Linked DNA regions of Caenorhabditis elegans. The protein of the gene in region 1 interacts with the protein of each later gene in a pairwise test. Each region holds a gene or a part of one and is shown on either strand. Other genes may lie near its edges. The genes, in order: cebp-2 and atf-4.

Region 1 (3,009 bases):
CCCTTGGAAGAACCATTTGATGCTCCACTCTCGGCGCTTGACCGGCCTAGTAGCTTTTCAATTTGAGGTTTCATCTTATCCTCGACTGGTTTCATTTTTTCAATGAACTGAAACTAGTTTTTTAGGAACAGTTGGAATACTAAAATACATACCACTCTATGCTTTAAAGCTCTTTTAACAGATGGTTCTACTGTAATTGACTCTCCTTTCATCATTTTCGACATAAGGACAGTCAACTCTCCAAGGTACGCTGTCATTTCATAGTTTTTCAGCTTCAGAAGACTAAGCCCCTGTAAATAAAAAAGTTTTTGAATAAATCTTGAGGTTTTCATTTCACTTCTTTGTCATCGTTCGTTTCCTCCATCCGATCGAAAACTTTACTGAAAGCTTTTACTGCTTCTGCAGTTTGAGTTTCCAGTTCTGCCACTAAATCAGCAAACGCTTCTTGCTCCGTTTCGGTCATCTGAAAGAAACGTTTTTTTTGATACAACACAAATTCAAAAAGTTAATTAATAAGATCATTCAAGATAAATTGTTGGAAACGTACCACACAAAAAAAAACAGTTTAAAAAAGAAAGTAAAGCGTTTTCTAAATTTATTTTTCTTTGGTTATTGGAATGCGTGAATTGAGTTATTTGTATAAAATTTACAGAAATGGTGGATAAATCTTTGATTAAATTGTTATCTACACGGCGGAAGAAGATGGTGGTGGCGGTGGTGGTGGTCCATCATTTCCGTCGTTTTTCGCATATGCCATAAACATTTCTTTAAGAAATGATAACTCTTTCTGTAGCTGCTCGACCTGATAGAGGGAATTAATTAAAATTAAAAAATCAAGTAAACAAGTACCTTTCTTTCTAGTGTTTCGTTCTCCTTTTTTAATTCGTCTACTTTTTCTGCAGTGTCATTTTCTTCCTGGCGTTTTTTTTGTCGGGTTCTGGAATTTTTAATTAGATTTTAGCGGCTAAAAATGAAATTTTACCTGTTCACAGCTTCGTTATTCCGTTTTCGTTTAGTGGAATAGTCATCTTCATCGTCCTCACGAGGCTCTGATGTGTTTCGCTTCCGATTTCCACTCATCGCTTGAAATTGCAACAAAAAATCGAGGAAAACTATGGAATTAATAGAAAAATGATGGAAAAAAGGTTTTGTGGAATTACGATAAAGTACGCGCGAGTGTGTAAAACGGAGCGTCGTTGCGTGAGACACCACAGAAATTCGAGAAAGGGGAACTAAAACTCCTGAAAAAATATATAGGAAAGAGCTACTTTCACGATATTCACGATAAATTAATTACTTTATATTTCTCGAATAAAACTGAATTTATTTTAAAATATAGTAAATGAACTATGTACTACACAAATTATTTAGCCAGCCAATGCAAAAGTGGAGGTACAGAGAGCATATAACCATGATCGTAGATGTAAATTCTCTTATCATAAGCATTATAGCTAATCATATTGGCGTTCTTGTACAAATTAATCCATTTAATCAAAGGTTGGGAGTATGTGTTTCTGTAGAAATCGTATGCCGTAGAGATATACGTGGATTGTTCTGATGCACTTTCCACCTGGAATAATGTTGATTTGATTTTGCTATTGGTCAAGCTTGATATCAAATAAAAAATTCTAAACCAAATAAATTGTTCCACAAACGACGATTCCATTTGCAACATCTGTATGATTTACTGTCGTGAGGTTGAATGCCTCATAAATTGTCAAATTATTTATATCCACCTGGAATAGTACCTAGTAGATAGATTTCAATGAACAACTTAAAATTACTTTAGCTACTGATAAGAAAGCTTCTTCCTGATAGTGAAACATGACCCAAAGTGCATTTTCATCGATTGCCAAGTCAAAATAATTCATCGAATTATTATAAAGGTACTGAAATTGGAAACTTTGACTTAAAACAATTTCAAAACTCACCTGATCCCCACGATAAGCTGCTCCCGGTATTTCAAACTGTGAGTACTGTTTCGAGTTGAACTCGTATTTTGCAATAATTGGATATCCTGCTCTTTGATAGAAAAGAGATGCATTGAAAATAACATGATTTGTTCCATCGAATATATATGGAAGGCGATGGCTGAAAAAGAATAAAAAGTTCTCAAATATTTGAAAAATTTTGAAAGAAAACCATACACTTTTCCGACATGGTCCCGTCGCATTTCAGCTTCATTCCTAAATTCGATGAGCTCGTGGCCTTGGAAATGGTTCATTACGTATCGTTTTCTAGCGTCCTGAAACAAGATATACATATGTTGAGATATGCCTTTCTCATAATGTACAGTATACCAGTACTCGGCGAACCAGTGAGTTTCGGTTTGTGACAGCTTTCCAAACTTTTTTTTACTTTTTCCCGGTTTTTTAGCATTTTCATGCCCGAACGTCTCGACCGGAAAACGCCTCCGAAAAATGAACCACGAACATACATACAGAAAGAGTTGAATAAAGTGTGAGCAAATTTTTCAGTTCCATTTTCAAGCTCCCAAACTTACATCGCCGGTTGGAGGGTATGCATCTCTCATCCAGCTTCCATAATATGTTGTAGAATGAGAATGGAACACAGGTTTTCCAACGTTTTGAAGTCGGCAATCTTAACATTCTTCAACTCCTTTTAAGACTGAATATAATACTTACGGGCAGTAACTCCTTGAATATATGCAACTGGAGTCGTAATGGTCTCTTCAATTTCTTCATCGAGAGTGTAGTTTTTCAAACATATTTTCACGCATCCCTCGACTTCACTGTAGTTGGAAAGGATCTGAAAATATGCTTTGGATCTGAAAGTTATTACTGAAGTCACCTGCTGAACCAATCCAGGCATTGGTTGATGTGTGACTGAAGGCCAGGGAGTTGTTGGAATGGCTTCTCTGTTCGGGCATTCCAGATTTTCAATCTGTAAATTCTTTCCTTCTTTGAGAAGCCCAGAGAAGCTAGGTTGTTAGACAATCTACATAGCTCACAGAATCTTGAACAACTTTATATTTCAGCTAGAAGTCAC
Region 2 (4,012 bases), on another chromosome or scaffold:
TAACGTCTGGTACTTTCACCTTTGAAAAACAGTCTTCATATGAGTTTTCAATCATTATAAATATTAAGAAAAAGCAGCAATGAAAAGTTTCTGGCAGTTTAAGTGAGGCATGAAAAGTTGTTGAGATTTTGAGCATGCTGTTCAAGCACGGCATGATTTATAACGGAAGTTCAGTCGGGTGGAATGAAATTCTCAAGTTGAAATTTCTAACAAAAACGAGTTTGATCCAAATACGCAAAATTTTGTTGAATTTTGGAGTTTATTTAAGGTGATTGAAGAAGAAGACGCAGAGCCATACTGAAGACGTGGAGAAATCTGCAAACACTGCTCTTGACGACTCTTTGCATCTCAATGAACCTAATTCAAAAATTCAAAAAATCTCGGACAACTTTGACTGCACATTAAGGTGAATAACGTTTCGGACTAGAATTTTTAGTTGAAACATATTTCAGAAAAAGATCAAGCCTCGTGGAGAGCACCTATCGTTAACTGACGAAAGTTTTACCGTGAAGATGGAGGTGACACGTTATCTCTCCACTGCAGTAGAAACTATCAGTCCGAGAGATTTTTGGGTAAATTCTGTGACCAAATCATCATATCCACGCCTCTCCAAATTTGCTCGACGCTTTATCATCTGTCCAACTGGCTCAAGTGAAGCTGAGAAACTGTGTTCAACAGCCGACACGAGTCTTACTAAATACCGAAAAGCTTTGTCACCTGAGAATTTAAAATGCTCCTATTTTTGAGCAAAAATATTCGTCTAATGAATACTATTGATGAGCCAGAAGGCTACTTGGTTGACTGAAATTATTGATTTATTTTCTTTAATTTCTAACATGTTGTTTTGTTTAAACAGTTTTTTCTGATGTTTTTGTTGTCGGTTTTCAATAAACTGTTCATTTTTCAATAAAAATTAGTTGAAACAGAAAAATAACACAAATTTGAAGAAAAATATCCGAAATATCCAAATTGTCCGAAAAATATCCGATTCAAAAAAATTATTTTATTCGAAACAGCGAACTAAAGGATTAAAGGATTAAAAGACGATCCGTTCTTCAAGTGCTATGCTCTGCGGAACTGGGATTCAGGTAAACTGACTGGTGGTGATCTCACTGGGCTATAATTTAAGCCACATCCTAGCCTGGGACTGTGGCCGATAATCCTGTAGTGGATTGCTCCACTCTCCAATAGAGGCTGGTTAAACCTAGGGGGTCTTGAACTTCAACTCGTGATCTCCAGATTGTTAGCGGCGACCACTACCGACTGAGCTATCTGTCGCTAAAAATCTAAAATAACCGATATCCGAAATAGCGAATATCGGGAAATTTAGATAAGAAAGTTTAGAGAAGCCCTACCTTAATTATACCTAACTGTAAGAAAACACTCTGGGAGCTTTTTGAATTACTTACACATTTTATTAAAAATTAATCTGAAACTTTTTTCAATCCAAAGATCAGCTTAACGTCTTTGATATTTGAATTTCCTCCACTAATCCACATCGATTGATGACGTACGAGACCGCGAGAGATGCAGATAGCACGCGACAGCCCTGATAAACTAAGAGAAATAGTATAAGAAACGGGTGCGATCAGAGAACATACAAAAAATATCGAGCAAACGCCGGAGGTGGAAAAGATTGGGGGCAGCCAAACTACACCAAGCGCTAGTCGTCTCCCTTTCCTCTTCTGTCATTTCACAATCAACACATCACTGGACACATACAGCCACTTTCTCGCAGAAACATCTCATCTGAAAATTATGAACTTCAACATGAACTATAGCACCGAACCGTCTCAATACCAATCTTACGTCATCGCGAACGCTCCTTCCGCCACAGCGCCAATTTGTACAGTAAGTTCATTTAACTTTTAATTGATTAATAATTAGTTTAAACAATGATCCTTTCCAGGAAATCACGTGCTGTGTTTGTTGAGCCTACGGGTCATGCATACGGACAAAATGATTACCAACAAATGGCTTATGTAAATGAACAAAATCCACAGTTCTTGCTTTATAATGGGATGCACAATCAAACCCATTCCACCCCACAATATCATAACCATCATCATCATCACCATCAATCTCCGACATATCCTCAATCATATTTCAACCCCTACTCCCATCAATCTTATCAACAGCATCATTTGAACTCCGATGTCAACTTCCAAATGGTTCCACAAAGCACTTCGGTTCCACCAGATCCGTTTTGCTCAATTGAGCCAATGGAGACTAATGTACAAGCAAAAGTGAGTTGATAGTTCAGAAATTGCGCTCAGGAAATTTCACAAAAACAATTGCACGAAAATTCTGACATGGAAACTGTCTGTCTACTTGATAACGGAGAACCAATCGGGTTGAGAGATCAAAAATGATCTGCGGGAAGACTATGTTAAGGAAATATAGTTAGGTTGAGAAGCAACGGTGGTTTCACGTGAAATTCATGTGATTCAAAGCTATAAGGAAGAGGAAATGTTGTGTATGCTTTTGGTGTCAACGAATGCAAATATTTTAGTAAATGAAACCGATACGTTGCTTCTGGTAAAGTAACATTGAATAATGAACATTTGACTTTGAAAGGGGTAAAATTCAAATAAAACAACCTCCTAGCTTTTTAACTTTAGGGGTTACAATTATCTGCTTTTGCAGAAGTTTTTGAGTTGCAATCCTCTGGAAGTCTTTTGAAATTTGACTGAAACTTTAAAAAAACAATTCGGTATATCCGGAATTTTACATCTAAACATATGAAAAACTCACAAAAATGTTATTTCAGGAACAAATTCTCGAAGAAATCGTGCGCGAGTGCGAAGAAATCGAGCGTCGTTCCAACTCGAGCGCGTCTCCAGCCTCAAATTGGTCTTCAGATGAACATGACTCTCAATCCGAAAAATCTTACCACCCATACAAAACCCCAGAAAAGAAGGAACGAAAGAAGGCTCAAAACCGTCTCGCAGCTACCAGATACCGTGAAAAGAAGCGTCGTGAAAAGGAAGAGGCTATGACTTGCATTGAAGGTCTTAGTGTCACCAATGGCAAGCTGAAGGATCAGGTTTGTAAATTATGAAGAATTTTGAGGATTAGCTTTTTTTCCAGGTATCCGAGTTGGAGCGTGAAATTCGTTACTTCAAAAAGTTCATGACCGAGATGGGAATGAAAACTGTCACCGACTAAACCTCAATTTTTAATGTTTTTTACTCCGTTTGAAAGTTCAACTCATTTTATTATTATTAATATTTTCTAAACTTCATCCTTCCCTTATATTGTACGAATTGTGGATTTTTTAAAATTTCATACGCCAATGGTATTATTCTGTTCGTTTGCATGATATTAACCTTACTCTTCAAATAAAAAAGTATCTGAAACCGATAGATCTATAACTTATCACCAACACTTATAGTTGGTTGTAGTCAAATTGTAGCTTCTTGTTTTGTCATCATTTTTCATTTATTTTGTCATCATGACTACTAGTGAACTTGAAGCGCACGTCATTATTCCAACACTGGCGACAAACTCATATTTTAGCTAAAAACAATTAGGAGTGAGTGGAAAAACAAAAGTATATCGGGGGGAATCGGACAAGTCAATTTGAAATTTGGTTAGTGAAACTTTTCGAGTGGATCAGACTCTTTTAGATAGGAAAGTGTTTAGAAAATTCAAAAATATTTATTTCATCCGAAAATGTACGCTTTTAAAAAATATTGGTTTCATCCAAAAATATACGTTTTTCAAAATTATTTATGCTCCGAAAATGTACCGCAACTAAATTGAAAAAAAAAAATTTTCCGCAGCGAAATTTTCCGCGACGATATTTTGCCACGACAAACTTTTTCCGCCTCAAAGTTTTCAGCATCGAAATTTTTCCGGAGCATCGAAATGGCGCGGAAACGGTAAGTCAAACTTCAATATATATAATAAAAATAAAAAATATATAATAAAACAACTGTGGAAAAATTTCGAGAAACGTCGAGAAGTTACGTCACAAACTGTATTGAACAACATGTTTTTGAAGGCACTT

Evidence for each region.
Region 2: the proteins of cebp-2 (region 1) and atf-4 interact in binary tests that used the Caenorhabditis elegans proteins (3 or more experiments, as listed by UniProt).

Annotation. Positions count from the first base shown.
Region 1 is NC_003279.8:6,251,155-6,254,163, reverse strand, and holds cebp-2 (CCAAT/enhancer-binding protein homolog 2), read right to left. Parts: upstream 1,083-3,009; 5' UTR 1,081-1,082; coding exon 983-1,080; intron 938-982; coding exon 850-937; intron 803-849; coding exon 686-802; 3' UTR 580-685; downstream 1-579. Other genes in the region: lpd-2 (LiPid Depleted), read right to left, coding at 1-107, 153-290, 338-463; cof-2 (Olfactomedin-like domain-containing protein), read right to left, coding at 1,364-1,570, 1,635-1,736, 1,785-1,889, 1,932-2,091, 2,148-2,245, 2,504-2,601, 2,646-2,769, 2,812-2,904. UniProt on the Caenorhabditis elegans protein: Transcription factor that binds to the promoter and the enhancer regions of target genes. Regulates expression of genes involved in fat metabolism, including ech-1.1 and fat-5.
Region 2 is NC_003284.9:14,808,503-14,812,514, reverse strand, and holds atf-4 (Transcription factor atf-4 homolog), read left to right. Parts: upstream 1-1,851; 5' UTR 1,852-1,909; coding exon of another isoform or gene 1,910-1,933; 5' UTR 1,934-1,973; coding exon 1,974-2,246; intron 2,247-2,770; coding exon 2,771-3,046; intron 3,047-3,090; coding exon 3,091-3,168; 3' UTR 3,169-3,359; downstream 3,360-4,012. Other genes in the region: T04C10.3 (Coiled-coil domain-containing protein 96), read right to left, coding at 5-154; T04C10.11 (uncharacterized protein), read left to right, coding at 1,711-1,851, 1,910-1,933. UniProt on the Caenorhabditis elegans protein: Transcription factor.